7 linked regions of the Danio rerio genome follow. The main gene of each other region encodes a partner of the protein of the gene in region 7 in a complex. Links are inferred from orthologs where the notes say so. Each region holds a gene or a part of one and is shown on either strand. Other genes may lie near its edges. The genes, in order: snrpd1, snrpf, sart1, lsm4, lsm6, snrnp200 and prpf4.

Region 1 (4,877 bases), on a different chromosome or scaffold from region 7:
CTGATGACTATTAAACGCATCATAACAGTCCTGTGAAAAGGGTCCATTGCGTGTTTAACAATTTTAAAAGGAATAGTCAACTTCTTTTTTTAAAGAAACAGTCTCATTTTACAACTCCTTAGAGAGTTAAACAGGCGAGTTTTCCCATTTATGAATCCGTTTAGCTGATTTCTGGGTCTGGTGAGAGCACTTTTAGCTTAGCATAAATCATTGAATCAGATTAGACCATTAGCATCTCACTTGATTCTTCTGTAGTTACATTGTGTATTACAACTAGCAAGAAATGAAAAGTTGCTATGATCTATATCAGGGGTTCCCAAACTTTTTAACTCGTGACCCCCAAAATAACAATTTTAGTAACTCACAACCCCACTATCCTCTGAGGTGGTTATAAGTAGGGCCAGATGGAATCTGCGGGCGTTTTTTGCTATTTCTGCGGAGAGTTTTGGTAAAGATCTGCGGAATTATTTTGGGAGTATCATAACTAAAACCTTAATATATGACATAAAAAAAAATATCTTTATATAATTTTTATTTAATGTTTAAAATGCTAATCCAATTAGATTCACATTATTTGGTAAACAAAGCAAGTCTCTCATATAATATCTCTACTAAAAGACAGAAAATATTACGGTACAAACTGCATTGTACATAAGTCAGACGAACATTTTCATATTAGTCAATAATATTACTGAAATAAATGTAAAAACTGAATTAATATAGATTTACACACATTTACTCAAGTAAATAAACAGAATTAATGATGGGCTAAACATCAGCGGAATTCAGCTCGCGCAAAATAAGTGTGGGCCTAGTAATAAGCATACAAACACTGTACACAATAATGCACACACACAAACCAATAGCAACTATATAAACAAGCTTATTGACAACACAACAAAAGTGCAGCAGTTTATCAACCATATCATTTTATAGTCACTATTCATTTGTTTAATTTAATATTAACCTCACTTAATGAGAATTGTGAAATATATACAGCACAAGTCTATTCTTGATTTAATTTCGGAGACCGCCACTTGGAGATCGTCCTCTATGTTCAGTCGTGGCCTTTATTTTTAATGTACAGGAGTGCTGTAAATGTGTCAAAGTTTAACATTGAGCCGTAAAATAAATCTGCTGCAACTAACACTATTGCTGTGTTATTAATCTAGCGTAATCACTCAAGGAGTCGTAATCCAATGGAAAAATAATGTAAACGCTGCTGTCTGTTTATGTACATGTTTTTGTTTTAAATGTAACTATTAAACACTATCTTCTGCAGGTTATGGATAAAATATGGTAATTTTAATAATTTATTTATATGTATATATTGGAAATCACCAAGCAACCCCCCCTCAAGGACTCACGACCTCCCAGGAGGTCCCGACTCCCACTTTGGGAATCACTGGTCTAAAAATTGAAAATCTCCACAAGTAAAGATGTAAATTTTCACACAATACCATGATCTATTGTTTTTCTGCTCACATGATTATTATAATACGAGTCTGACTCAGTGGCATTAATTCATCAACAAAGTATAACAAGTTTTCTAATTATTATTATTAGCACAATATAGGGCATATACAATGAGTCTTTTTAATTCAAGTTTATTTGTATAGCGCTTTTTACAATGACTAGTGTTTCAAAGCAGCTTTATAAAAGGTGCACAGTATTGCATAACAATCCAATTAAGTCAAGTCATTTTCAGCTAAAAGGTTAAATGCATTTTTTCCGGGAGCTGACAGATGTAATTGAGGTAAAGTTGTTTTTATATTCACACATTCAGACTTAATATAATTTCAGAAAAGTATTATTTGCAAATACTAAATAGGGGAATCATATTATCACCAAATGACTATAAAGCACAATATTGTTTACGGTCTAATATTGTTTTGAAGTCATTCTTATATGTGATTTCAGATCAAATATTCAAAGCAGCGTGGTAAAAAATAATGAATCTGTATTCACCTTTTTAAATACTGCTTTGCTATTTCATAGAACGCCAAAGTCTAAACCTGCTAATATAAAACCAACTTCACCTCAATATAAGCACATTTATTGGCCACCTATGAGATGTAATGCATCAGATTCAAAGAGAAAATGCATAATATGACCTCATTTAATGAAACAGGCACATAGCAGACAGTTTATAAATGTGATTATGGTGCATTACTTAAAATAATAATTACCTGTAATTGTGCCATGGACCTGTGTGCCATTCTTCAGCTCAATCGTGACGGTTTCATGGCTCAATTTCATCAAAAACCTGCAGGTCACAATCATAAAAACAATGATAAACAATTATAATAACATAACGTCTAATATCTACATATAAAGCATTTTGTCAATATGATTATATAAAGTATTTACAGCTTACTAATGATAATAAACTGATAACTATATTTAAAACAAATGATAAACTATATATCCAATAATCTTTAGACTTCCTAACTACACACTATAGTGTCTATTAACATAATTATATGATTATATACAGCTAGCATATTTAGAAACTAGTAAATAAATGTAGCTAACTTAGCATTAACAGTTATTGTTTCTGTTTATGTATTTGTTGCATTTAAGACCCCGCATGATCAAACTACCACCAAAAAACGCACAATGTATTAATAATCTAAGACTAAACCCGCTTATTACATAGTTTAAAACACGTATGTGCTTAAAACAAATGAGTAAAACGTTCAAACAAACGCTCGCCCATTCATTCATTCCCGCCTGATGAAGCTAACGGCTAACTAGCAGCTACACACAATCCGGCTCCATCTATTAAAATACATCGCGCATCCGCAAAGTTTCTTTGTGTATTTTACTTGTATGACAGCTGTAGATGTTTATTACCTGACGAGTTTCATGATGGCGGTGGACTTTGAGAGAAAATCCTCCACCTAGATGAGAAAAAATTGTAGCGCAAAACGAATGTAGGACGCTACTGGAGAGATGGTACAATCACTTCCTGGGTGAAAGGGAAACAGAATTCTGAGGACAGAAGGGTTGCCATTACTCAACAAAATCACCGGAATATTTTTACACGCTGGTAATTTCATTTATAAGCATGTTATAAACATACAAAAGCGAATTTAAAATTTTAAATGTTGCTACAACAATTTTTATTATGATAATAGCTTAAAAGTATTTTTCAATTTCGATATCTCATGGTACATAGGTTAATAAAAATACACTTTTAATTAACCAAAACAACAATAATTTAATCTCACAGTAAATAGTTTCCTTAAAGCATTCTTTTAAAAAACCAAAACAGCAATATTAATCATATTTAAGGCTTCAATTGCGTTTTAAGATAATAAAAGTATAATACAGATTTAAATTTTGACACTTTTTTTTCATAAATGTTTAAATCTTTTCCATATCACAGCGCAGCTACAAAATATGATTTATTTTAGACTATGAATAAAAATATACTATAATAAAATATTAACTTTATTCTGTTTTTTTCTTTGTAATTATATTTTCTTAATTCAAAAAAATAGCATTCAACATCCACCGGAATAGATTTAGTTTTAACGTATCTGGCAACCCCACAGTGACGATACAGTAAATAGGTTAATAAAAACACACTTTTATTAAACCAAAACAGCAATAATACCCATATTTAAGGCTTTACTTGTGTTTTAAGATAATAAAAGTATAATACAGCTTTAAATTTAGACAATTTTTCATGTAGTGTCATTTTCATATCAAAGTGAAGCTCCAAAATACTGTTTATTGTAGATAATGAATAAATAAGATACTATAATATAATGAAAGCTTTATTCTGTCTTTACTCTATTTATATTTTCCCAGTTTAAAAAAAAAGCTGCATTTAACAACCACAGGAATAGATTTATTTTTAACGTATCTGGCAACCCTACAGTGACAATATCTCACGGTAAAGGTAAATAGGTTAATATAAACATACTTTTAATTAACCAAAACAGCAATAATAATCAAATTTAAAGTTTTAGATGCGTTTTAAGATAATAAAAGTATAATACAACTTTAAATTTAAACAATTTTTACGTATTTTTTATACTACAGTGAATCTCTAAAATACTATTTATTTTAGATAATGAATAAATAATATACTATAATATAATATAAAGTTTCTTCTGTCTTTGTAATTATATTTTCTCTATTAAAAATAACATTCATGCACAGTTGTGGATTCAATTTTAAAATATCTGGCAACCCCGTGGCGATATCTCAAGTAAAGGTAAATAAATTAATAAAAACATACTTTAATTAACAGAAACAGCAATAATAGTCATATTTAAGCTTTAATTGGGTTTCGAGATAATATAAGTATAATACAGCTTTAAATTCAGACACTTTTTTCACGTAGCAAAAGATTTAATTTAACGAATCTGGCAACCCCGCGGCAGGAAGTGAATCCCGGAAGTGAGCGCTCATTGAAATATCACGTCAAAAGTGGATCGAGGGATTAAAACACAGAAATCAAACCCTCGCTTTTCATCATGAGAAATCCCCGAGGGTTTATACCGAATAAATGATTAAACTAGCATAAAGCAGCGCTTCAGACCGCGGGAGAGCGATGTTGTGAGCGATGTCGCGGTGTGTATTTGGAGTGACGTGTGTTAGTGAGTGACAGCTCATCCTCTTCCTCGTCCTTTTCTTCATCTCCAGCATGTCATTGAGCATGTTATTATTGTCGGCGGGATCTGCGTGCAGTTAAGATGTTTCCGAAGACCTCGTTCACCAGCCTGATAGTGGGGGTGTTCCTGCTGTATGTGCTGCACACATGCTGGGTGATGTACGGCATCGTTTACACCAAACCCTGCGAGAAACGCCGAGCCGAAAGCTGCATCTCTCCATACCTGGCCGCTAAACCCAGACTGCAGGTC
Region 2 (4,663 bases), on a different chromosome or scaffold from region 7:
AATAATTTAAAATGTACATTTTCAGTTATTGCCATGTCGGAGTTTCCACGTCCAAAAGCTTACCTGATGAGCACCTCACCAAGATGACCAGCTAACGCTCCATCCACATACTCTTCTGTGTTGGCCAACTACAAATATCGCAAAGAGAGAGGCAGTTTAGGGTTTATTGCCATATCAGTTTTGCGAGTCTTATAACAAAAGTATATGAAATATACAAAATATCATTACAATATATGTAACAATAAAAAGACAAACAACATTAACAAATAAAATTAGATAAAAACTTAAAATAGTTTAATTCTACCATCTTCGAAAGATTCACTTTTTTTTTTTTTTTTTTTAAATAGTTGCTTTAAGGCACAGGTGTCAAACTCAATTCCTGGAGGACCAAAAGCTCTGGACAGTTTAATTCCAACCCTAATTAACCACACCTGATCAAACTAATTGAGTCCTACAGTCGTTTGAAACCTACAGGTAAAGCGGCAGGCACACTGCACCCCTATAGACTTCCATTTATTAGCAAGTAAATGCCTTAGACAGGAAACGCAAGCTCGTGCCACAAGTTTCGCAGTTCGATGTGTTGGAAACTTAAAGCTTGGTGAACTCTGACCAATAGAAGATCAAAACACGACCTCTCTGTACAGAAATTTTAAATATGGTCAAATCGTAATCAGCTTGTTTAATCCCGCCCCTTTTTGCAGCACCAAACGGCAGAATTTCACATGCTCAAACTGTAGTGTGGGGAAGCAGGGTTGCAACTAAACTATGCAAGACTGCGGCCCTCCAGGAACAAAGTTTGACATCCCTGCTTTAAGAACTCTCCAGATAAAAATGGTTATCTAAAACATTTTAAACAGGGCATTGCAAAAGTATCAACTCGAGTTGAGTTTTATTGTCATTCCGCTACATCTGTGGACACACAGTGAAATGTCTTGCAGGACCACAGTGCAACATAAATAAACTATCATAAATATAAACAACCCTTATAGACATAAGAGCGATTTTAAACCTATACATAACTACATAGCAGAGCAGTAATTAACTATACATGTACTAAAGACCTTTTTGAGGGATGTAAACAATAACAATGGTCCTACTGTATTTTCAGTAGCTTCTGAGAGTCCAAAAAGTCCCACATATTGATAGTTACAATAGCTGTTATAATAGCTGTTATATAAGTTATGAATGAATCGCCTCTTGTTACAGATATGAATTGACAACAAGCAGGAAATATTCATGGGCCAATGGCATCACCACATTGAAACGGTCTATAAATAGTAAAAAAAAAAAAAAACTTTACGCATAACCTTAGACAGACTATACAAGTACTTTTATATAAGACAGAACAATATTGTGCAAAAGAGATCATTTAAGGTTGAAGGAAATGACCAGTTAAACAATTTGTGGTACAGTCACAGGTAAACATTGTTTTTTTTTTTTTATTAAGTCCTTGTAAGAGATCTAGAAAAACTTGCATTTAGAGAGATTAGCATTTCTACAGGTGGTTTGTCAAGCCCACTCACCTGTGTGAACCAATCTCAGAAATGCACAATGTTTTATAGAGCTATGAAGTGGTTGAAAGAGAGGGTCTGGTACAAATAGACAAAACTAGTGCAAGTGTGTCAAGGAGTGTTTATAAAGCCCACTCACTTGTGTAAGGCACACTCAGAATTGCTAAATATTGAGGTTTTCATATGAAGTGTATATGCTTGACAGCTAGGTTGCCATTACAATATTTACATTTTTGGCCACCTTCTGCTTTAAGCAGATGTCTGTGTGTGTCTAGCATCTCCATAATGGCATATACAACGGTATGTCTCGAGTTAAAAAGAATAGTTTAAATTTTCTTCCTACTAAGGAGCTGGATTTTCATAGAATCGTTAACTCTTTTAAACATACCTGCATGTTCATGTACCCATCCACTGACACCAGGTAGCCCTTGTACTCCATGCCCCACTTCAGCTTCACCATCACAGGCTTTCCTGTCAGACCATTCAGAAAGGGCTTTGGGTTCAGCGGCAAACTCTGAGGGAAAAGATCAGTGTTACACAATTAACATCATTCGAAATCAATCCCTAAGTGTCATTTTCAAACAATTCCATGTCAACATAATATTGTTCCTGAAGAAGTAAAATACTACAAATGTTGATGATTTTATTCTCAAGTGAGTGAAAAGCTTAGAAGAAACTTTAGCATAGCCTCCGGTGATGCTCAGTCATATTTGACCAAATAGAAAAAAAAAAAGATTTACATTTTGGGTTTTAGTTTTTTTTCTTCATCAGCTTGTTATAACTTTTAGTAAAAAGTTTTGACACTAGCCGCATGAATTTACACAAGCAAAATAAACAAATAATAAAAACAAAACAAAAACAGATACAATTGATATGACTTCATTTTAAATTGTAATGACAAATTCTCATTACTGTAGTTTGTGGTATAAAAAATCAAAACACGCATGCATACACACAATATATATATATATATATATATATATATATATATATTGTATAACTTCAATAAAACAATATAATAATTTACAGCATTAATTGTTTTTGGTTTCCACCAGAATTAGCTGCAAATAAGCATCAGTAATAGCAGAAAAAACTCCTTTAACGTTAGTTTTTATCTTTAGTTTTCCCACACATATATCATTTAATCGCATTTTGGGAGTCACCGACTAGGTTGTAAGAGAACAAGGAGGAACATTTATCAGCAAAGCTCAACATTTCTAACACAACACTGAAAATGACTGAAAACAACGTCCAGTCTGCGTTCCTGATGCTAACACCTAGCCGCATTATCAGCGTATTTATGAATGAAAACGTCTACGCTCTTTCGCCAAACTGAAGGTTTGGATACAAATAAAAGAGATAACGATGAACTTACCATGACTGGATTACTTAAGTAGTATTTTCAGACACAAAAATTGTTTATTTGAATAGTATAAGCTAATGCAGCACACTCGCACGCCTTGCCGCCGAAAGAGGGAAGGACTACGAGCGCACTTTGACCGCACGGCAGGAGAGAAGAGCGGATCTGCCCGCTGCGCCACTCGCTGGACAGGCGGGGAATAGAGCCGTGAATCCTCAGTTGAGCTGGAGTGGAGGTCTGAAATTAAAGAAATAGTTTATCCAAAAATAAAAATGTACTTACTATAAACTATTTCCGTTTGATGATGTCGTTGGCCCATAAACATTTCCTGCTTGTTATAAAACTGTTTCACAGCTGTATCAAGAGGCAATTCAACCATAACTTAATGTTAAAACAGTTCTTATAACATTATTTATCAATATGTGGCTCTTTTTAGATTCTCGGAAGCTATAGAAATTTAAAATGTAAAACAGGAAATACGTAAGGACCATTGTCTTTTGTTTAGATTCCTCAAAATTGTCTATATAGTCACCCTTGAGGGGTTTCTAACCTTAATGAGATTCTTTTTTTTCATTTGAAAACAAAAATAAGATATTTGGAAGTATGTTAAAACTGGTATTGTTGTTTCGAAAATGTTGGACACCGGTAACTATTGGCTTCTATTGTATTTGTTTTTCATCATATTATAGAAATGGTTACCAGTTTCCAAACATCTTCTTTGGTGTTCAGCAGAAGAAATAAACAAGTGAAGGGTAAGTAAATGAGAACATAATTTCATTTCATCACTATCCCTTTAAAAAAATTAATATGTATAAATTATTTTATATATTTATTTTGTACCATTTTTAACAACTCCCAAAACAGCAGCAGTGGATCATTTTATCATTTCATTCAACGAGAACGGAAACTTGCAATCATTTACAGTCTTTTAGATTTGTATTTGAAAGCACAACACATCTAATTTCTCTTTGATTTGTACAGTAATTTAGCTTTGCAAAACTATTGACCCTCAATTATATAAATAAAAAAAAATGCAAATATCCCACATCAATCATTTAACCGAAGACTTGCCCAGTAGGTTTTTGCATTTCATTACCATCTATTCAAAAGAGGTCATGTTTGAAATGTCATGTACAGTGGTGGATAGTGATGGACAATATTTTCTTCCCCAGAGAGGGTGTATATAGTTAGGTTAGTTAGTTAGCTAGCTAGTTGGTTAATTTATTTGTCCCTGTAGGGTAATTTCATTTGCAGTATACACTCACAGAGACAACTAACATTTCAAATTTGCCATTTATATAAATAAATCATGAAAAACATGGTACCCCTACTCTAAATAAATATCTAGACTACTGGCCATCAACTGCTACTGAGGGAGGAGGAATTTAAAAACTTAACTGCTTACGGTATAAATTAAGATTTTGTCCTATTTCTCACTTATCTGGCAACACAATAGTGATGACCTGATAATAACACTTGGAAGGTGTATGGAAAAGGATGTCACTCATCTTTGACAATCATGATAGCCTTATTTAGTACTCTTTCTTTGTATGTACTATCTATCAATGCTCTTTAGTTTTATTCCCAACAACTTATTGGCTGTAGTTGCCACCTTCCCCAGCAGTGACCTTTTCTGGGCCTCAGAAGCATGTCCATACAAACAGATCACACAAAGTGTTGCAGTACTTGAATAAAAGTACTATAAAACATGATAAACAATGTGTTGTCAACATTAAAAGATAATTGTTTCTTAAGGAAGTAATTTCTCTGTTGAAGCTTTTTCTTTTACAGT
Region 3 (3,502 bases), on a different chromosome or scaffold from region 7:
TAATTAGAATTTTAGGGGTTTTTCATCTTTCATTGGGATAGGATAGTGGAGGAGAGACAGAAAAGCACTGGGAGCACAGAGAGGAAGGTTGGGCATAGGACCTCGAGTCGGGAATTGAACTTGGGTCACCCTGAGCCCTATGGTGCTATATGTTGGCGCGCTTAACCTCTAGGCTATTGCCACCGATTTTTCCTTATAATTATGAACAACATAATATATTATGTTGATTAAAATCATGTAAAAAAAAATTGACAAATTACAAGTAGCCGTAATACTAATTGTCATCTTAAATCTTTATGGTTTGCCAATAACCTTCAAACCAGAAGATTTTAGATTTAAATTGGACAAGAAACAGAACTGATCTAAACTTGAGTGAAAAACATTGTAAGATATAATCATTCATTTTCCTACGGCTTAGTCCCTCATCCACCACAGCAGAATGAACCACCAAATATTCCAGCATATGATTTACACAGAGGATGCCCTTCCAGTTGCAACCCAGTACTGGAAAACACCCATACACTCACATTCACACTCATACACTAAAGCCAATTTAGTTTATTCATTTCACCTTTAATACATGTCTTTGGACTGTGAGGGGAAACCGGAGCACCTGGATTAAACCAACGCCAACTCGAATCAGCAACCTTTTTGCTGTGAGGCGACAGTGCTAACCAATGAGCCACTGTGCCACACCAGATATAATCAGTGTAAATAAAAAAAAAAAAAATATATATATATATATATATATATATATATATATATATATATATATATATATATATATATATATATATATATATATATATATATTCAGATGACATTAGCCCAGTCTTAAATCGCAACAGTTTTTATTGAGGGGAAAAAAACAAGACAGATAAGGTTCTACAGAGAACTGTCAATCAAAACAAAAAAGTTAAATCAAATAAGGGACTTAAATTCACATACAAGACAATGTCTGTATATACATCACCAGTTGCAACTGTGTTTAGGAGACAGCTAAAATGAGCGCATTTTGTGAGATTTTCTGTCCTTCTGTTCCAGAATAAAGATTTATTTTGTAATGGTATTTCTGTAAACAAAAAGAAGAAGATAAAACCAATTACTGAACAGAATACAGACAGAATGAAAAGGAAAGTGTAAATAAAATACGTACGCGTTCATGCTTTTCCCGCTGCCACTCAGCACAATGTAAGGAGTTTTCTGTGATTTCTGCTTTTCCTGCAGAAGTGCCACGGTTCCCAGAGGAGTATCACTGCTGCTCATCTTCTTCAGCAGCTGCACGGACAAGCAAAATGGACATTAGCTTTATAGTTTGACAACAATGATAGTATACAGAGCTCAGCCTTAAAGGGACAGTTCACCCTATACTGAAAAAAAAGAAAAATCAATCAATTTACTAACCCTTGTTTCAAACCTGTTTGAGTTTCTTTTTTCTGTTGAACACAAATGAATGTATTTTGAAAAAATTTTTATCGCTAACCATAAACTTCCATAGTATTTTTTTTCTACTATGGATGTCAGTGTTTACAGGTTTTCATCTTTCTTCAAAGCATCTTCTTTTGTGTTGAACATAAGAAATAAAATATCCTCTTTTTTTTTGGAAGATCTTAAAAGAGAGCGAATTGAGAGTACATTTGTATTTTTGGGTGAAGAATCTCTTTATTTATTCAGAAATCTCCATGTGCTTCTCATTCAGACTTTCTAGGAATAAAAATGATCTGTCCAAATAGGAAGTATGATTATTAAATATAATTAAGCAGAATTTATCCAGTGTTGTATATCAGCTGGTAATTACTTAAATCCGCATATTTGGGATATTTTCCCCTCTTAAATTGATATTAAATGAGTTTTTACACATTCTGATTAACTATTAAATGCATCATCTTTGAAATTGAAATAATGACACATGCATTTTGATTACAAAGAGAGATCTTTGGAAAAAAAATGGAGTTAATGGCTGACTTTCACCACAATGACAATATAATTTTCCATACTTTAACATTGACATAATTTTAGAGGTTATGAACCATTGAGAATAAGTTTAGCAAACTTTTTTTTTATTTATTTCTTGAAGAGGATAATGTAATATTTATGTTTGTATGTACATATGTGTGGAATTTATGCATTTGTGTGTGTGTGTGTGTGTGTGTGTGTGTGTGTGTGTGTGTGTGTGTGTGTGTGTGTCTGTGTAAATAAATATACAGTTGAAGTAAGAATTATTAGCCCCCCTTTGATTTTTTTTCTTTTATTAACATTTCCCAAATGATGTTTAACAGAACAAGGAAATTTTCACAGTATGTCTAATAATATTTGTTCTTCAGGAGAATTATTTGTTTTGTTTCGGCTGGAATAAAAGCAGTTATTAATTTTTTAAATACCCTTTTAAGGTCAATATTATTAGCCCCTTTAAGCTAGATTTTTTTAATAGTTTACAGAACAAACCATCGTTATACAATAACATGCCTAATTACCCTAACCTGCCTAGTTAACATTAATTAACCAAGTTAAGCCTTGAAATATCACTTTAAGCTGTATAGATGTGTCTTGAAAAATATCTGGTCAAATATTATTTACTGTCATCATGGCTAAGATAAAATAAATCAGCTATTAGAAATGAGTTATTGATGGATGGATAGACAGACAGACAAACAGACAGACAGACATGTATGTGTATATTTATATATTGTTTTTGTTTTTAATCAATATTATTATTTGTTTTGTTTCCACTTGTTATTTGTTCCTAATAAAAACTATTAAAAGTATTTTAAAAAAGCATAATTTTTGTATTGAATGAATAAATGCTATTGGGTTATCATAAAAGAAATCACCACCAATTCCATGTTTTCACTGAAGCAGCAGCATTTACAGTTTAACAAAGCCCATATGTAGCGTCAAAGTGTCAATTAATTTATATTCATATTTATAATACAACAATTTTATATAATACATTGTATTTAGCAATTATTATAAAATTTTAAACAATATATATTTTTAAAACAAACCACTCCTTTCCTAGCTAATGACGTTTTTAATTGGTATAATCGTCTGGTTGAGCAAAGTAAAATGATCTTACACTTAATCCTGCAAAGTGCAAACAATCCAGTTAGGGATGCTCATTTCAGTTAATTTTGCCAACCCATTCATGAACCAAATATTAACCTTTAACTGGTCAGATAAATATTAAATTATTACTTAATTTAAAAAACAAATTGACGTGTCTATTTTGTGTGACACCATAAATATTGTGTTTTACAATACAGATTTATTTTAAAATGCAAACAGCAGCATACAGAACATCACAGCACATCTTCATGCAGATGCAGTGTTTCCAACAGCACAGGAAAAAAGCAAGAACTAAATAAAAAGAATAAAATAAGTAGGCCTGCCCTAGATATTTTTTATTTAAATGAAAAAAAAGTTGATTACAATATGAAAACACTGACTGAAATATTTTTAAGAACCATTTTTTTCCAATCATGCTTTTTCTTCCGTCAAATAA
Region 4 (4,966 bases), on a different chromosome or scaffold from region 7:
TAAATAGGCGACAAGACTTTTGTCAGGTAGAATATATACACTTATATATCTAAAGCATGCTATAAAGTTTTACAATTGTTAATTCTTTTATAGAAATTAGAGTCGACAGATTTTGATGAGAAAAAGAAGATAAACAAAAGGAAGCAGATGATTCTGGATGGAAAAGTGAGTTATTTTTAAAAAAAACTTGTATATTTGTATGTTTCTTATAAAGTATTTTTGTGTACATGCATAATTTTACAATTTTTTTTCCTTGATTTAATTTTAAATCTATTGCAGGATCCTGATTTGGAAGAAAAAAGGAAAAATGAATTAGAGAAGATCCGAGGAAAAAATAAGAAACTCAAAGGAAAAAACCCCCAGAGCAAAAAGGAAAAGAAAAAACATGAGAAAAGTGCAAAAGCGACAGAAGTTGGCTCTTAATTTCCTCTCTTTTGTACAATTTAATATTATGTATATAGCGTGAATATGCTTATATTTAATAAACATGTGATGCAGTGTTGACTGTGTTGCTACATGAATGAATGAATCTGTGTTGATTTTTTTATTTTATTTTATTTATTGCTTTTTTCTGTGATTTCCTACATCTTTTGGGTTTAAAATTTTTTTTCACAATTTAGAGTTTTTACACTTTTTTTTTATTTTATAGCATGTCCACTGTAGTGGACCACAGGACCATTTTAGATAGAGGTAAAGCTGTTTTTCTATTCACATATTCCTTTATTTAGAAGTCTCTATATTGTTTACCATGTTACTTTGAATATTCGATCGGAATTAGCATGCAAGTCTGACTTCTAAACAACATTAACACTATCTAAATCACTGTAAACAATGCTGTACTTTAATAATCATTGGCTACTAATACGATTTCCCAATTTAAAATTTGCTAAGAAAACTTTTCTAAAATTATATTACTAAGGGGAAAGTCTGAATGCGAATATAAAACCAACTTTACCTCTATCCATTTTGGTTCAAAACAACCGCCAAACTCGGACAACAAAACTCTACAGGATATGGCTGTAAAGGGATATTAATCCAATATCAATGTAACAAAAAGAAAACAAAAGCCATTTTTTCCTTTTGTGTTGAAATTCCTGAAACAGTTTAGTCTAAAAGAGAGCCAAACTCAAAAGAAAAAAAGAGGTGATGTTAATTCAAAACAAATTTAACATAAAAGGTATTTATTTAATTGTCTGATTGTCAGACTTTAAATCCGAGTCTCCCTCAACTATCTTATAAAGAATCCTTTCTGCTTCCATTCTGCCCCTACAACATGCAGTCATTAATTACATTAATATGGTCCTGGTGTCCTTGAAACTTTCTGCATGAAGGACTCATAAATGGCAGATTAACCTGCTGCTGGATGATGTGTGGATGATTTACACGGGGCATAACTAAGCAACACAGCGATCTGTTAAGGAGGAAGTAGTAAGTCTCAAAGCTTGCATACTCTTTTGTTGCACACTCAAAAGTATAAACTTTTCCTTTACAAAAAAGTACATACTTTTTAGGGCGTAGTATAAATATGTGATTTGGGACGCAGCGTTTTGGGACTTTTGCTTTGACAACTTCCGCTTTCACCTGGAAGTACAACAGTAAGTGGTTTGCAGATCGCCTTGTGCTGCGAAGAAGATTCACAGAAAATCATTTGTGATTGAAGTCTTCAGTGGATTAAAACTTCATATAAAGACTGATTGGTCATTCAGCTGACATGGTGAGATGAAGTCGATAAACTTACTGGCTAACGTTAGTGAAATTAAGATTTTCCGCTGTGTTTATTGGATGATCTGTAGGTCGGTTAACACCGATTACGCGCAGAAACAAAGCGTTGTGTAAACGTTTTATTTGGGTGTATACACGAATCTTTACAAGCACGTTACGTACTTATTTAGTAAAATAGATAAAATTAGTTAAAAATCAATGTAGACGGCTATTATACATTTATTACTCTATTAAATTATCTCTACAGACATGCGAGGAACTTCAGAAGTCAGAAAGGTTTTGGCGTAGTTTTATCAAGAATATCCAAAGTCGGTTTTATATTCGCACATTCGTTCAGTGACAACTTGTGACATGCTCCCTACCTTGTTTACCATGGTACTTTAAACATTTGGTCTAAAATCACATGCAAGTATACTTGTGTATATGACTTGAAAACATCATTAGTGACCAGCCCGTCAACAACCATGCCACCTTCATAGTCACTTAAATCCCCTTTCTTCCAGCTTTCTGATGCTCGATTTAAACTAACGTTACAGCAGATCATCTTGACCATGTGTACATTCCTGAAGGCATTTCGATTCCGCCATGTGATTGGCTGATTAGAAATTTACGTTAATGAGCAGTTCGACTGGTGTACCTAATAAAGTGGACAGTGAGTGAATGTTTAAAATATATAAGCAATGGTACCTAAATAATCAAGTAAATCATCTTGCATATAGAGGTAAGTTTAGTTTTATATTCGCATATTCAGACTTTCCCCTTAATAATATAATTATAGAAAAGTATTCTTTGCAAATTCTAAATTGGAAAATCAAATTAGCAGCCAAATGATTATCAAAGTACAGCATTGTTTACAGTCAATTAGATGGTGTTAATGTTGTTTAGAAGTCATGTTTGCACGCTAATTCCGATCAAATATTCATGTTAAACATTATAGGGACTTCTAAATGAACGAAAATGCGAAAATAAAACTAACTTTACCTCTATATCTTACGTCAATAGTTTTTTTTGCATTATTATATATGCAGCAGAGAATGCAATTCGCTCCTGTTATGGCTTATATGAATAACAGGACTGAGTTTTTAACATTTAATGATCAAATACATGCTAAATGCTGTACGCTGTAATCTCTCGGCTGTGTATTTTAAACATGGCAGGTTTTTTGTTTTCATTCTGGCTTATTGCGTAGACGAATGACGTATTTCTGTAAACCTAGAACATTCAGTTGCACATCTAGCTCCGCCTTTTGGTACCCTTTCTCGTGTTTGGTATCCTTTCGAAATGGTGCCTAAGAAGTGGTACAGTTCGGTTCGCCTTTTGACAGTGCAAATGGCCATAAAAGCGTACCAAACCGAACCGTACCACTCAGTGAAAACAGGCCATAAGCGATTTGTTTTTCAAATATTTGCTGAATCGTGGGCTAACCGGTGTCTTGAGATGTAGAGGGTCCTTTTCTGCTGGAGATAGTGTTGCTAAATGAAAACTAAATGAAATCAAACAATCAAACAAAACTTGCATATAACATAGAAAAAATATCTGAAAAATAATAGCAATTTTAAAATTTTAAGTTTTCCAAACCGCTGTTAACCTTGAACCCAGTTATTGTCCTATATGCTCAGTCCAGGGTCACATATTCTGGTTAGTGAGTGTAATCTCCAATTGAATAACAATTAACAATATTCCATTGTGAGCACAGAAGAAACTCTTCATTTACTCTGTTGTTAGCATGACCACTCGAATTCTTTCTTTTTCTTTTCTAGCTCCCGTTATCTTTACTGAAGACGGCACAGAACCACCCGATGGTGAGTATCAAGCAGCTCACTTCATGCGTGCATCTTTATTGTCAGCACGAAGTTAAAGGTGCCATGATCAGGGATCATACTGTCCTGAAAAGTCATGGAATTTTGACAAGGCATTTTCCAGGCCTGAAAATGATTTGGAAAAACAAATAAACCCAAAATGTTATAACGATGGTTTGTTCTGTAGACTATTAGAAAGATATATAGCTTAAAGGGGCTAATAATATTGTCCCTAAAATGTTTTTTTATTTATTTAAAACTGCTTTTATTTAAGTAAAACAAATAGGACTATATATATATATATATATATATATATATTTATTTATATATATATATATATATATATATATTTATTTATTTATATATATATATATATATATATATATAGTACTTCAATTAAGAGCAGAGAGGGATTTTCTCGTTGTTTTATTAATTATGATAAAACAGGCGGCAGCTATTGTGCTCTGTCACTTTAATGGTTTCGCTTTCACGCGTCATTTGATTCTCAACTCATTTGTTTATTACACAAATGAGGGTTAATATGAATAATCACTAAATACTGCGTTTTGACACCTGTTTGAACATTAAAGCGCTCACGTTAATGACTTTAGATGTGTGTGCTCTCTGCTCGTCGCAATGTGCGAATAAGACCAACTGCTGACCGCATGCTTCTGACTGTGTCTGTGCGGCGCACACACACAAGCATGTGGTCTTTCGCGCTTTTAAGAGCAACAAGTGAGGACAATTGGACGGGGGCGGTAAATAATGGAATAATCGTTTATCTCGATTAATGTTTTTTTATAATCGTTAGAAGCCGAAATCGAATTTTCGATTAATTGCACAGCCCTAAAATGAAGTGCTGAACAATAATTGAGCTTTTAAGTTAATCTGCTTTTCTTTTCAGCTGGTTGAGTTAAAGAATGGCGAGACATACAACGGCCATCTGGTCAGCTGCGACAACTGGATGAATATAAACTTGAGAGAAGTTATTTGCACTTCACGGGTAAATACGACTTCATTCAGATGAAAACGTCTTTGGGAGACTATTGATTCCTTACAAAATTAAGCAAAACACTTGTTTGTTTTATTTAAACAAATCTGCAGGTTATTTATTTGTCTTGCTGAAATGTGACGGCTGTTTTTTCTGCTTGCTCTGATTTGCAGGATGGAGATAAGTTTTGGAGGATGCCAGAATGCTACATAAGAGGAAGCACCATTAAATACTTGCGAATCCCTGATGAAATTATAGATATGGTGAAAGAGGAAGTGGTGTCAAAGGGCCGTGGCCGGGGTGGCATGCAGCAGAATAAGCCACAAGGAAAGGGCAGAGGAGGTGGACCTGGAAGAGGTGGCGGACCTGGCAGAGGTCTGATGCTTTTATATTCATACAATAGATCATATCATATAATCATTCCAGACATATATAGCCCTCCTTTTCCCCCAAG
Region 5 (4,802 bases), on a different chromosome or scaffold from region 7:
GTTTGCTTTACTTTAAAAAAATGAGCAAGCACTAAAATCACTTTTCAAAGTCAACTTGTAGCTTTTAAGGTACTTTTCACTTTTTATTAAAAAAAAAAAAAAGTAAAGCAACTAATAGTTTTTTACAATGTATGAATTCTTTCTAAACATAGGTTATCAAGTTATCTTGTTAAATGATATTTATATTACAATGTATTTTGCAGAAAAACAGAAAAATCTGCCATTTTTTTTCAATATCGTGCAGGCCTATTTCAGTATATTGACTTACTCCTGTTTATATTTTATAATAAAAGTAGAAGTATAGTAATTAAGAATAGTTGTTGTTAATTTTTACATAGATTTGATTTCATATTTTAAACGTCAACCAATATTAATTTCCTTTTTAGTTGATGCAAACTCCACTCTTGCTTTAACAAGTGGAAATAAAACACTGGGGAAAAAAATCAAAGGGTCTTTAATATTGATTTAGACAATAAAATGCATGGAAATCAAAAAGTTTGATAACAAATATCCAAGTGTAAGAAAATGGTGGCAATACTAAAGGAAGGTTTCAGACTAAAAGCCTTAGATCAAGAGCAGGATACAGCAACTGAGGTAAAGTTGGTTTTATATTCGCACATTTATTTAACGACAACTTGCGACACGCTCCCTATATTGTTTCCCACGGTACTTTGAATATTTGATTTGAAATCATAAGTAAGTTTGACATGAAAACAACATAGTACTATCTATTTGACTGTGAACAATGTTGTACTTTTATAGTCATTTGCTGATATGATTTTACTATTTAGAATTTTCAAAGAATACTTTTCTAAAATTATATTATTAAGAAAAAAAGTGAGAATATGTGAATACAGGGCTCAACAATAAGGACTGCCCAATGGCCCGGGGCTAGTGTGCGAGATGCTAGGGACATTAAACAGGACCGTTACTGGCCTAATCAGGTCTTAAAATTAAGAAACTGTTATTTCAAGCCTTTAAATACTACCTTCTCAGTGAAGTTGTAAACACCATATTGCTTTTCGCTTCCTCTTATGTGATTGGATGATGTGAGCATGTTATTTTTTTCTAAAACTTGGTAAAAACCAGTACAGCAAAGAGGCGGCAACTTCAAATTATTAAGCTAAAAGAAAACGTCTGTTTCTAATGTCTTGGGTACAACATGACGAAAAAAATGTGATGTTCTGCACAGTTTGCCGCAAGTTTGGCAAGTCAGCCACATTTTGTTAAATAATTTTAAAGTGCAATAAAATACCTGCACATTTTCTATTATTTTTTTGTTTGTTTGTTTGTCTGCATTACACTATAAATTTTGCTTATTTTAGATTTATTAGCATTAAATGCTACATTCGCAGATGTTATTTTTGACAGAACATTTAAAATATGTGGCTAGGATATTTTTTATTACAGCTTTTCTCAGTCGCTTTTGTGCGTTTCTCACAAAACTAGTGCATTTCTGCACAACAGTTAATGCATTTCTCAAAACAATTAGTTTAAACTGCAAAACCTAGATGATAAACTGCAAAAATGCGTCACATGCTCAAAATGGATAGTTCATTCCTCAAAAGCAAGTATTGATGTTAATCAAAGTGCCAGTATCATCAAAATGAAAAGTCCTGACACCATTGTTTATGAACAAGATAGTCACATGGCTTTGTCCTGTTTTCATGATGACAGTTTACTCTGTACATTTTTTCAATGCAAAAAAAGTCAGATTTTGTTGACACTTCCTGAAAATGCTCAAGACAACACTGCATACTATTTGCACAGCCATTTGAAAACTACAGTAAAGTTAGACATCACTGCATTTAGTGAGGAATCGGAGTACAACAAACTGAATATGTATGTTTCACATTTTAACTGTATATACTCTTTGCAATTCTAATTTATTCACACCATTGTGCAAAAGAATACATACACCCTTATTTACAACAAACAAACTCCCTTTGGGTAGAGTTGTGCACAACTGTACACAATATTGCAAAACATATAGGAACTGAAACTAAAATACACACAAGTCTATAAATCAATCATGAAATTGTTCAATTTTTTAGACATTATCAGGAAAATAAAGATTTAATTTTTTTTATAAAATATTGCTTAACAGATTTTGACAACTAGTTCAACATTTTTGTATGTAATGACTCAAGTAATGAAATGAAAACTATTTGTTTTATATGGAATGACTACTCAGAATTCACAAGTTTAGTTGACATAAGCAGATGATAATGTTATAAATATCAGAGAGTTGTATGAAAGTAATTGATGCATGTCCAAAAGCATCTGCAATGTGTTGGAAGGAATGAGAAACTGCTAATAGGATGTGCACAAATGACTAATTATTTTGAGAAATGCATTAACTGTTGTGCAAATGTAAATAGTGCTGTGAGAAATGCACCAAAGCCACTGAGAAAAACTGTAACTTGTTATATTTGGTCAGACCAGTGAAAAGTTTCGGGCCAGTAAAAAAAAAATCTTTAGCGTTGAATCCTGGAATATAAAACTTACTTTACCTGACACAACTTTATCCATATTTAACTTGCATGTGGCAGTGAACTTGTAATAAATTACAATAAGGAAATTATGTTGTTTTCTTCAAGATTGACTTCCAAACCATCCTATTTTATTACCTCCAACACAACAAATATGATCAGTCCCTTCATGCATACCCTCGATAACTTGTAAATGATAAATGTAAAATACAAACATAAAAACAACCGCATATTTCAGTTTGTACCTCTGTAATCGACACCAGAGTTCAGTTTCACCACCACTGGCCTCCCAATGATCTGCTTCAGGAAATCACTTGGTGTCTGCTTTCGGAGACTCATTTTAGCTGAAAATGAATGACAATGAAGTTTATGAATAGCTCTTATAAAAATGAACCATGGCTGCATTGTTAACAAAAAGGATGTGACAATAACAACAAAACGTACTAAAGACGTTTATTTTAAACCACATAAGGGGTTTCCAGAAGAGGTTTAACCTTATTTGTTTGGAAATTGCCGGTGAACGTTATCGATAAGCGGCTAATTTAGCATGCTAGCATTCCAACCCAACGTATCACTTAATAAACGTGTCATCGTATATCTAGCAAGGTAACTACAGTGCTGCAGTTTTTTAAAACCCCACTAACGTCGAATGCATTCTTATATTAAAGCATACAACATTTAACGTTATTTACCTATGTCGTTTAGCAACGTTAACCGCACGTTTCGACTGAGCGACTGCTGACCAATGAGCTCGTCCGCTTATTCTAGTTCCATGGTGTGTACACCATTCAGCCAACCAGATGCTTCGTTAGAAAGCCAGTGTACGGAAGCCGACAAGATAGCGTTATCTCCTTTGACAAAGAATGCGTAGTGGAAAAAAGAGCCAGATCGACGGTGGCAGTAAAGACGGGGAATCGTCGCTTTTGCTACATTAGGACATAAAATCGTTAGACAAACAGAAGAATGACAGATGAGCTGATAAAAATGGACGAACAAACAGACGTATAGAAACCTAGACTGACAGACAGACAGACAGACAGACAGACAGACAGACAGACAGACAGACAGACAGACAGACAGACAGATAGATAGATAGATAGATAGATAGATAGATAGATAGATAGATAGATAGATAGATAGTCTGTCTGTTTGTCAAAGTATTTTGTGTACATTGTGTATAATAAGCAACTTCAGGTTGTAGTTGAGGTGTGGCTAAAACATGTAGGAAAAAAGAAGATCCTGTATAGCCAAAAGAGAGAGAGGGAGATGGGGAAGAAAAAGCTGTCTTTTGTTCACAGGCAGAGGAGGGGATGCACCTGAGAGACAGAATCATAAAGCACTTCTGGCGCATCCAGACAGTTTGCTTGTTAGCAGGGCATTGGTAGCCCTGAGGAGGCTAGAGGTTAATTTGGTATCTGGTGCTGTGTTAAACTAAGGTCAGCGCTACAAGTCCTTAAGTCATAAACAAGTGTGGTTAAGAGCCGTGTACACACCTAGGCACGAGTTAATGAATATTCAATGAGTATTTTTCCCCTTGTTGCCAGAGTTCACATCCTAAAGGAGGGTTAAGAGAGAAAAATGTGATCTAATGCATTTTCCTATCAAAGCAATCATTCATTTAAGGAAAAAAAGGAAAGAAATTGAACGAGTTTACAGATTTTTCGGTTGTGGCACACAGCACCGGGATTTTCAGTTGTAAACAAATATGGAATATCATGACAAGGAAGCTGACACAAGCACTATGATGCTTTCTTGACTACTGGAAAAGCGTGAATGGCTTGGCTTGTTAAGCGATACTGAATAAAACACAATAGAGCTCTACAGACACAGAAAGCATTTCACAAGCTTTTTATCTTTCAGTTTTGCCTGTTGCTTGGTAGAAGATGATTCTGTCCGTCTCACATAAAGAGGGCATTTTAACCTTAATGTGCTGTCCTTCAAAAAGTTTTCAACTTAACATTTTGTAGACTGATGTGAATGTGCATAAAATTTTGACTGGGAACAAATAAAAAAAGCATTTGCTTTTCCTCAGTCAGCACAGACAATCCACTCTCACCGCAAGCCTGTGAATAACCCCACAGCTCCTATGAAAACAGTAGCGTGTTGGTAATAACCGCCCAGTGATGCCAGATGGGACTGTTTTCACCCTGCCTTCAAGACGCTGGTGAGCTCAGATGGACAGTGGCACAGTTGATTTGCTGGTACAACCCGCCTCACCTTTCTAAGCCCCCAAAGACCTGAGAGGGAGTGGAGGAAAAATGAAAAGATTACAGAGGCAGCTTCACTAGGGTTGGGGGTGGGTCAGGCTGA
Region 6 (4,720 bases), on a different chromosome or scaffold from region 7:
ATATTTTATTGCCATATTTTGTGTGTATATATTTCTATGAATATATAAACATGTATTTTACAGCCATATTGGTGTATATATCTATATATTTTAAATTATGAACATGTATTTTACTGGAAAATGTGTCACATATTTTTGTAAATATATAAACATATATTTAATTGTATATATTGTTATAAATATTTTATACACACACAAAGTTGAAGTCAGAATTATTATCTCCCCTAAATTATTCGACCCCGTTTATTTTTTCCCCCCAATTTCTGTTAAACTGAGAGGAGATATCTTCAACACATTTTATGAACATAACAGTTTAATAACTATTCTCTAATAACTGATTTATTTTATCTTTGCCATGATTATTTGGCTAATAATTTTGTCCCTAAAATGGTTGTTAAAAATTTAAAAACTGCTTTTATTCTAGCAGAAATAAAACAAATAAGACTTTCTCTAAAAGAAAAAAAATATTATCAGACATACTGTGAAAATGTTTTTGCTCTGTTAAACATCATTTGTAAAATATTTTAAAAAGAAAAAAAAAAAAAAAGAGGGCTAATAATTCTGACCTTAACTGTATATAACTAGATATAAACATGTATTTTACAGGGCTTGACATTAACACCTCCCAATTGCAGGTACACTTCAGCTGAGGCAGTTCAGACAGGCAGCCACTGGTGAGTTGAATATAATTTTAAAATTGTAGCTTAATTAAAAGTCCTATGTATATAAAGTACTTTAGTCAAATTTAAGCATCATAAATATATTTTCCCAACGACAAACTTGTGGCTAAATGCCAAGTGGCTAGAAACCTTGGAAAAAGAATAGTGTCTGTAGAGCAAAACCTTAATTAAAATGTGTAGCCTTGGCGTCACTTTTGAAATTCCCTTTTTCAGAAGTCAGATATCTTTAATAACATTACTTTCCAGAAGAGGCAGCATTTTCGTCCACTACACTTCAGTTTGGCTGAACCCGGAAGCGGAAATCACACCAAACTACGTTTTGAAACCGTCGTGCGTGTTTCGAGCGTATGGTGTGGATATCCACATAAAGAAAAGAGAGTTCTTTTCTACTTTAATAATATTGTAGTGTACGCGCTGTCCGTGCACATTAACCTAGTTTTGAATAACTAGCTCCATATATGAGTGCTGTGTGGTTTGTTTAGCAGTCTCTCTCTCCGCTAGCACCGGGTGTGCTGGTTAATACAGAAGACTTTCATTTCAGCGCACTTACAGTAATACGAAGCCATGGCGGATGTTACTGCGCGTAGTTTGCAGTATGAATACAAAGCGGTAAGTTTTATTACATGTCTAGTAGTTTGTTATGACATGTTATATGCTTTGTGGCTAAATTAGATCTTTTAGCGCGCTGAAGCGGTTTGTTTTGGTGTGCGTGAGCTCAGGGATAGTTCAACGCAAATTATAATTCTGTCTGACTCTCTTCTATTGAGCACAAAGTAAGATACTTTGAAGAATGCTGAAAACCGGTAACATTGACTAACGTTGTATTTATTTTTGCTACTATGACGTCAATATTGAGGTTAAGCTGGTTTTTGGTAGATGCGTTCAGTGACCTGTTGTGACATGCTCCCTGTATTGTTTACCATGGTACTTTGAATATTCGATCTGAAATCACAATTAAGTATGACTTCAATACAATATTAGCACTTATTATTTGACTGTGAGCATTGTTGTACTTTGATAGGCATTGGCTGCTAATTTGATTTCACTATTTCGATTTTTAAATTTTTTTCTGAAATTATATTTAGGAGAAAGTCTGAATGTGTGAAAATAATACCAATTTTACCTCAATGGCGTCAGTGGTTATCGGTTTACAACATTTTCAAATATTGTCTTTTGAGTTCAACAACAAAAGAAACACTTAAAAGTTTTTAATAACTTGAGAGTGAGTACATTTCCATTCTTGAGTGAATTGTCGCTTTAAACACGATTTAGAGTTATCTCTCTAGACAGCATTGTGATTAATTTAGTAGATTTGTTGCTTTGAATGATATTAGGGCTGGGCTATTTGGCTTAAATTCAAAATCTCGATTAATTGAACCTTTTTATTTTATTACGATTAATGAACAATTAATTGTTTAATTTTTTTATCCCATACTACAAGTGAGAGATTATTAAAGGGTGCATTACATAATTTTAAAATAACTGAAGGAAACACACACTATCTACTCTCTATTACTATTTATTGAACATCTATGCTGAACAACTGATATTTAAGCACACGTTGCCTTAAACCAGGGGTCGGCAACCCAAAATGTTGAAAGAGCCATACTGGACCAAAAAAAACAAAAACAAATATGTCTGGAGCCGCAAAAAAATTAAAAGCCTTATATAAGCCTTATAATGAAGGCAACACATGCTGCATGTGTTTTTATTAGCTGTATTAGCCTACTATAAAAATGATTTAGTTGGCTACAAATACATACTGAGCCTTCATGATTAAATGTTTTTTTTTTCCTGCAGTGCATCCTGTAGAGAATGACGCACCACGTGACTACTCTTTTGTACGATGCCGTCTCAAGTTTAACTTAATTACAATATTAATGCATTATGTTTAATGTTCGAGTTTAACTTCATTACAATATTAATGAATTATGTTTAATGTTAAAGTTTAACTTCATTACAATATCAATGAATTATGTTTAATGTTCAAGTTTAACTTCATTACAATATTAATGCATTATGTTTTGCTTTGATGAAATTAAAGAAATGCAGTAAAGAAATCAGATTTTTGATGTTTTTTATTTTGAGGATTCCAAAAAACAACATCAAAGTGAACGTGCATAACGTGCCCCTTACTGGGAATGTGCTCAACAAGGAAGGGTCAATCTCCAGGGGTGTGTGACAAGGAAAGACAGTCTCGTTTTTTCCTTTCGCCACTCGCAAAATCTGCTCCCAAAAGCAGTTTGCATATCAACGATCGCACCTTGTAAATAATCACCGTTGAGTGAGTGATAGGGATGGGCTTCTTTGAATTCTCTCAGGGAGGGAAAATGAGAGAGCGTGCCCCGCTGTACATCTTTGGCAAAGACAGCTTACGCTCCATGGCGCATCACACAGCCGCCGGATAGTTTACAACAGCCACCTGCCTATTCCATGTGTCGCAGGCTATGACGCAAATCTTCGTTGACAGAAATGTTGAAAATAAATATTTTACACACTTTTACAGCATTGGAAAACGTTAAGATTGTTTGTCCTCCTATAGAAACCATATTAAAACAAAAATATATTTACCTCCCCCATCTTTTTCTGTTTTCAAACATTTTTTGAAAAAGCTCCAGGGAGCCACTGGGGCAGCGCTAAAGAGCCGCATGCGGCTCTAGAGCCGCGGGTTGCCGACCCCTGCCTTAAACCAACAGTCACTTTTTTTCTATAAATATTTGGAAGCAAAATTAATTATTTTCAATGTTTTCAAAAGTATATAATAAACAGTATCTCTTCTAAATAAAATAACTCTTGTATATCCTGTAAATAGTTTAAACAGTGCATTTCTTGATTTTATTTATTTTTTTGTAAACAAATTATAGTGGAAAATAATTTTATTGTAATAGAAAATATGCTGTCTCAAGGCATATCTGGCGTGGCTTTCTTAATGCAAACTTGCAGCGTGTAGTTACATTGTTTGAGAGGTGCATGGGTATTCTTCCTCTCAAAGGCTGCGCCGGACCATACCCGTGTGTTCGACGCAGAAGTATAAATCAGCCTTAACAGAGCAGGGTCATGTGACTCCACATCCTGTAGGAAAAGATTTTTGAAAAAATTGACCTGGGAAAATTAGATCAATCATAGGTTCTAAATGTTAATTTCGATTAATTTTCAAATGATTGTCCAGCCCTAAATGATATTGTGTTTTAGCATAACGATAAGGATTAGACATGCTGATATTCATACAATATGGTATATACAATATATTGTCATAAATAACATCTATAATGCATGTTGGCATTATAATGTAATGTGTAACAGCGTAATGTTATAACATGTCAGATGTTCATTGAAAATAGTTATATTCTTTATGTACTTGTATGTTAGCACCTTACAGTGAAGCTTCATTTGTTAACATTAGTTAATTAAACTTAATTGATGAATGAAAACTACATGTAAACCGTTTATTTGTCTTGGCAAATGTCAACTTCCTTGTTAATGTTTAATAACTTGTTAATAACTAACATTAACTGCATTACTTTTTTAATGTAGCTATTTCTCACTTTCAATATTAGTTAATGTATTAGTAATGTTTATTGTTGCAAAGTGTTATTTATTGTACTTCATAATCCTTGTGCAATTTAATCTGCAATTTACTTTTTTGTTATTATACCTGTTGAATTAATCTTTTTGAAAACATCACATATTCTTATAAAAGCTTCAACAATCATGGCAACAAGATAGATTTATAGCATCACGCACTTATTATGCATATAGCCAGTTTGAGCTTGAGACTCAAACTTACCATCAAACTGATTGTGAGTGTTTGTGTTTCTTCCACAGAACTCTAACTTGGTGTTGCAAGCAGACAGATCTCTGATCGACCGAACACGCAGAGATGAGCCCACCGGAGAGGTGCTGTCTCTGGTCGGAAAACTGGAGGGGACCAAAATGGGAGACAGAAGCCAGAGAACCAAACCTCAGATGCTGGAGGAGAGGAGAGCAAAGTCAGTCTGATCACAAATGCATCAAGTTTGCTGGTAAAAATGTCTCAAATG
Region 7 (4,176 bases):
TACACTACACGACTTGATTTTGGGTCTTTAAATCGTTGTGATGTTCACACTACACGACACTACGTAATGATCCACAAGACAGGAGTCACACACTAGATGATCTGACAGCAACTCGTTCCCCATTAGCTCAGTCCAACTACCAAACCAGTCAATACATTTTTGAGGGAGGAGCCGTCAGAAAAAGCTGAACACTATTGGCTGCTTGTGTGCTGATGACATCACTGACAGAGTTTCAAGCTTTGAATGGAGCATTTAAAAACATCTTCAATCAGCTGATGCATCAGTGAATCAATCGATTTAACACTAGACCTACAAAAACAGTCAGAGTTTAAAATTTTTTGTAATTAGATTACTTTTTGAAATACAACGGACATCTATAACACCCTGACGTTTCCAAAATATCTGTGTATTTCTTTCTAGTTATTTTATTTAATTACAAAACAGAAAAGAACTGAGCATTTCTACCTTTAATCACCATATCGGTCAAAATGACTGCATGCATGTTTGCTACTTTTCGCTGTGACTTTAAACATGTGTGCCTTGCAACTTCCTGCTAATATAAACACAACTTTCTGATAGCAAAAACAGAAATTTACTTCAGATATAACTTTCAAAACAGCATATTCTGTGTAAAATAGCTCCTGTTTGAAAATAAAAGCGAGGCCCAAACCTTTTTGGGTGTTTTACTGTTTTAACTACATATTTATAGGCTGTATTACCAAAAAGATCATATTTTTAGGGTAGTGGTGTCATGAAATATGACAGACATTTAAAGCTTAATTTTAATATTTCAATAGAAGCTTTGAATGGAAAATAATGTCTTATTTGAGAACGGTCAGATGAGCAGTATGGTAATTCTAATATATGTAGATTTCTAGTTCCTTTGTTAATATAGCCTACTCTCATATCAGTGTTAACACCGAATGAAACGAGTGCATCTATGCCCACTCTGGCCAATCACAGACGTTTCTATTAGCTCCCGAGCACAATGGCCATTCAGCGCATGCTGATGCCTGATGTGCTCTCTCGTTGGCTGCAGCTCATCACTACATCTGACCACATATGGGGTCGAGTGGGCCGACTGCTCTGGAATATTCAGCATGCTAGATATTGGATTTTCATCTGCGAGGTTTCAGCAACGCAACAGCGAGCCTTTTTGATGCGTTGTTCAGTAGTTTACGCATAAAGCCTGCCTCGCTCCCCCAGATTTTTCCCCAATCACAGCCTGATCTGTCAGCGAGCTTGGTAACTTCGGGCTCAAACCAGCCTTAAAATCTTAAAATCACCCAAGAATAAAAAATTCTGACATTATTTATATTTCCAAGCCTGAGTTTCTTTCTTCTGTTGAACACAAAATACAGTTTGAAGGATGTTGAAACGCAGCAGTCATTGACTTCCTTCTAGTTTTGTTCCGAATATGGATTTCAATGACTGCCGTTTCGTCAGAATATCTTGTTGTGTTCAACTGAAGTTTAAAACCAATTGAGTGTGAGGACTATTGGGTGAACCATCCCTCTAAATCACTGATGCACAAAACAAACATCCTGATTTGAATACTCACGTTGGAACTTGACAGAGGACACAAGGTTCTGATGGGCTGGGATTGTGTATATGCACCGTCTCTGGCGAAGGTCCCACACTTTACAGGCATTATCTCCACTTCCCGTTGCCACATGAAAGCTGCATAATGATGATTGCAGGGTTATGATCATTATAACAGTGAACGGCTTTGGTAAATAATCATACGGGGTTACATTAACTCACCCGTTTGGGGAAAAGTTGATGCTGTAAATCTCTTTGATGTGGCCCTCTAGGAACATGACACAGCGACCAGTGCGCAGGTCCCAGACACGTGCAAATGAATCCAAACCACTGTACATTAAGCAATAGAGCATTAAAGCAATAATCAAACATTCGATCCTTTGTGAAAAGTTTAATTCATCAAAAAAAGCTGTTTAAATAAACAACTTCATGAAGTGAAAATATATGTGGTTTAGGCTTTTCTTATACAAGACCATTGCTGCAAGTAGACAGACTGGGTTAAGTCAAGTTTTTAATTGAGTGTCTAATCATGATTATGAAAGTAGCTGAAGAGTTTATGCCTATTCTATTACAAAAACAGTGGAGCGCATCAGGGTTTAGTGTGAGGCCCTTACCCAGTTCCTGCCAAAGAGCCATCTGGGTGGAAGTGCAGATCATGGACGCCTTTACTGTGACCCTCCTGATGAAGAATTTCTTCTTGGACCTCAAGATCCCAAAGTCGCCATGAGTGATCATAGCTTAGAGAGAGGGGGAAAAAAGCTAATAAAACTATTTTACAACACAAACGTTTGATCAAAACATCTAATATTCATATTATTGTTCTGGTTCACATATTAAAGAGCCCCTAATATGAGTTTTTGAAAATGACCTTCCATGCAGCGTGTTACACAGCTCTAAGTGAGGCTGAGGTTAAAATCTAAAAGTGCAGCATGTTTAAAACTATTGATTCTTTAGCGAAATATTTGACTCAGTCAAATAAACGAATCAAGTTGGGTTTGGATATTTTGTTAGATCGCATCGACATCAATACAGTACATCACCAAATATGTACTTCCACTTCCGTTAAAATATGCATGCTCTCTCCCTCCACACACTAGTGGAGGCGCGGGGGATCGCAGGACTGACCATGATGTGAAGATGAATTTTTGATACAATAACCTACGCTGCATCTACCGTTTGCTATTGAAGGAGCAGCAGAGACTATGGGACTTTTTCAGCTCAAATGGACCAGTTTCTTCTTCCTTTGGATCCTAACATGTAAGTGGCATAAAAATTGTTGCCCCGTTTTGTGTAGTTTGCAAAATATGCGTTTAATTGTGTGTTATAAGTTGTAATCACCCGTGCTTGTACTGTATCTCTCAGGTTAAATCTGTATGGGGCTGTTTACATATCACGTAAAAAAAACGTGGTAAAAACGTGACACGTGCTTCTACCTTTACCAATTTTAAGTGAGTTTCTGAACTGGCGATCCTCTGCTATGCTTTGCTATGGCCACCATCAGCTGTTCCTCACACACGCAGCATGGTCAATTTTTTAAAATAGTTTAACTTTTACAACAATGTGGATTAATACTGAATACTGTGGATTAATACTGTGTGTCTTTGTTACTACTTGGGGTTTGGGTTAAGAGTAGAGCAATATGCTGGCCTTTAACTGCATTGATTTATTGAATTCCTGCATTGGGCTCCAACATACTCTCTGGCTGCTATTTCATAGCCATGGTGGGCTTTTCTCTCTGTCTCGTGCTAAAAGCAGTTGATCAATCACAACAAATTAGGTCATCGGACCAATCACTGCAGATTAGCTTTGCGCTACGGAGGGGTTTGGGAACTAATGAATCGTTGAATGATTCATATGGGAGTCGCTGGGATAATTAGGTAAAAAAAAAAATGCATATTATAAGACAATGAAAGTGTTTTTTGACCTTACATGCAGATCAGCGAGTTGCTGGAGACCCCCAAAACCAGAAAATTACATTTTTTAATGCAAAATAGGAGCTCTTTAAAACAAATTGACAAAATATAAATAGATTCATACCAAGTTGTGCCCAGAAACCGGCCAGAGGGATGCCAGGTCACCCGAGCCACCCTCATAGAGTGTCCCTCAATGTCTGCTATAGGTTCATCACTATTAAAAAAACAGGTGAATGTTACAGTTTTCCTTCAGATAACAGATTTACATAATCCTAAAAGATACACACCTGTCTAAACTCCACAGCTTAACAGATCCATCTGCAGCACAAGAGGCCATATTGACATCTGACTCCTCAAGTGTTAGTGTGGCTTGTGGGTGAAAGCTAATCGCTCCCACATTGGTATTGTGACCTGAAGAGGAAGGGTTCACCAACGATTAATACAACGCTACAAGCTGCTCCTCAAAAACTAGAACACAAACAGACAACTTGATGAATAAACATTACAGAATATATTTGCTGTATTTACCTCTTAATGTGCGTATAAGAGTACAATCGGGGACCTTCCACAATTTACACAAGCCCGACCTACAACAGAAATGTCTTATAAATACAAGTTCAGCTCTGTTTGTTTGGTGCAAAATGATACATTTAGCCATGTTTTAGCATTCACATTTCTATTCGTATTTTAATACTGAACCGAAGATATACAAAAAAAACCA

Evidence for each region.
Region 1: prpf4 (region 7) and snrpd1 share a complex: the UniProt entries of both Homo sapiens proteins name them as parts of the U4/U6-U5 tri-snRNP complex. The link is inferred for Danio rerio from reciprocal best matches to the Homo sapiens genes PRPF4 and SNRPD1.
Region 2: prpf4 (region 7) and snrpf share a complex: the UniProt entries of both Homo sapiens proteins name them as parts of the U4/U6-U5 tri-snRNP complex. The link is inferred for Danio rerio from reciprocal best matches to the Homo sapiens genes PRPF4 and SNRPF.
Region 3: prpf4 (region 7) and sart1 share a complex: the UniProt entries of both Homo sapiens proteins name them as parts of the U4/U6-U5 tri-snRNP complex. The link is inferred for Danio rerio from reciprocal best matches to the Homo sapiens genes PRPF4 and SART1.
Region 4: prpf4 (region 7) and lsm4 share a complex: the UniProt entries of both Homo sapiens proteins name them as parts of the precatalytic spliceosome. The link is inferred for Danio rerio from reciprocal best matches to the Homo sapiens genes PRPF4 and LSM4.
Region 5: prpf4 (region 7) and lsm6 share a complex: the UniProt entries of both Homo sapiens proteins name them as parts of the precatalytic spliceosome. The link is inferred for Danio rerio from reciprocal best matches to the Homo sapiens genes PRPF4 and LSM6.
Region 6: prpf4 (region 7) and snrnp200 share a complex: the UniProt entries of both Homo sapiens proteins name them as parts of the U4/U6-U5 tri-snRNP complex. The link is inferred for Danio rerio from reciprocal best matches to the Homo sapiens genes PRPF4 and SNRNP200.

Annotation. Positions count from the first base shown.
Region 1 is NC_133194.1:2,232,395-2,237,271, reverse strand, and holds the start of snrpd1 (small nuclear ribonucleoprotein Sm D1), read right to left. Parts: upstream 3,015-4,877; 5' UTR 2,871-3,014; coding exon 2,857-2,870; intron 2,267-2,856; coding exon 2,190-2,266; intron 1-2,189. Other genes in the region: lipid scramblase CLPTM1L, read left to right, coding at 4,710-4,874. UniProt on the Homo sapiens protein: Plays a role in pre-mRNA splicing as a core component of the spliceosomal U1, U2, U4 and U5 small nuclear ribonucleoproteins (snRNPs), the building blocks of the spliceosome.
Region 2 is NC_133182.1:19,363,743-19,368,405, reverse strand, and holds the start of snrpf (small nuclear ribonucleoprotein F), read right to left. Parts: upstream 3,077-4,663; 5' UTR 2,890-3,076; coding exon 2,887-2,889; intron 2,026-2,886; coding exon 1,900-2,025; intron 129-1,899; coding exon 64-128; intron 1-63. UniProt on the Homo sapiens protein: Plays a role in pre-mRNA splicing as a core component of the spliceosomal U1, U2, U4 and U5 small nuclear ribonucleoproteins (snRNPs), the building blocks of the spliceosome.
Region 3 is NC_133196.1:30,364,617-30,368,118, reverse strand, and holds the end of sart1 (U4/U6.U5 tri-snRNP-associated protein 1), read right to left. Parts: intron 1,279-3,502; coding exon 1,157-1,278; intron 1,073-1,156; coding exon 1,054-1,072; 3' UTR 835-1,053; downstream 1-834. UniProt on the Homo sapiens protein: Plays a role in mRNA splicing as a component of the U4/U6-U5 tri-snRNP, one of the building blocks of the spliceosome. May also bind to DNA.
Region 4 is NC_133186.1:6,965,355-6,970,320, reverse strand, and holds the start of lsm4 (U6 snRNA-associated Sm-like protein LSm4), read left to right. Parts: upstream 1-1,596; 5' UTR 1,597-1,711; coding exon 1,712-1,714; intron 1,715-3,482; coding exon 3,483-3,524; intron 3,525-4,425; coding exon 4,426-4,524; intron 4,525-4,685; coding exon 4,686-4,887; intron 4,888-4,966. Other genes in the region: probable ATP-dependent RNA helicase DDX49, read left to right, coding at 94-165, 280-423. UniProt on the Homo sapiens protein: Plays a role in pre-mRNA splicing as component of the U4/U6-U5 tri-snRNP complex that is involved in spliceosome assembly, and as component of the precatalytic spliceosome (spliceosome B complex).
Region 5 is NC_133176.1:39,344,431-39,349,232, reverse strand, and holds the start of lsm6 (U6 snRNA-associated Sm-like protein LSm6), read right to left. Parts: upstream 3,279-4,802; 5' UTR 3,185-3,278; exon of another isoform or gene 2,962-3,184; coding exon of another isoform or gene 2,937-2,961; intron 2,837-2,936; coding exon of another isoform or gene 2,832-2,836; coding exon 2,738-2,831; intron 1-2,737. UniProt on the Homo sapiens protein: Plays a role in pre-mRNA splicing as component of the U4/U6-U5 tri-snRNP complex that is involved in spliceosome assembly, and as component of the precatalytic spliceosome (spliceosome B complex).
Region 6 is NC_133183.1:33,117,153-33,121,872, reverse strand, and holds the start of snrnp200 (U5 small nuclear ribonucleoprotein 200 kDa helicase), read left to right. Parts: upstream 1-1,244; coding exon 1,245-1,289; intron 1,290-4,505; coding exon 4,506-4,669; intron 4,670-4,720. UniProt on the Homo sapiens protein: Catalyzes the ATP-dependent unwinding of U4/U6 RNA duplices, an essential step in the assembly of a catalytically active spliceosome. Plays a role in pre-mRNA splicing as a core component of precatalytic, catalytic and postcatalytic spliceosomal complexes.
Region 7 is NC_133180.1:62,709,309-62,713,484, reverse strand, and holds part of prpf4 (U4/U6 small nuclear ribonucleoprotein Prp4), read right to left. Parts: intron 4,043-4,176; coding exon 3,984-4,042; intron 3,867-3,983; coding exon 3,743-3,866; intron 3,670-3,742; coding exon 3,580-3,669; intron 2,280-3,579; coding exon 2,157-2,279; intron 1,984-2,156; exon of another isoform or gene 1,873-1,983; coding exon 1,765-1,872; exon of another isoform or gene 1,681-1,764; coding exon 1,562-1,680; exon of another isoform or gene 1-1,561. UniProt on the Homo sapiens protein: Plays a role in pre-mRNA splicing as component of the U4/U6-U5 tri-snRNP complex that is involved in spliceosome assembly, and as component of the precatalytic spliceosome (spliceosome B complex).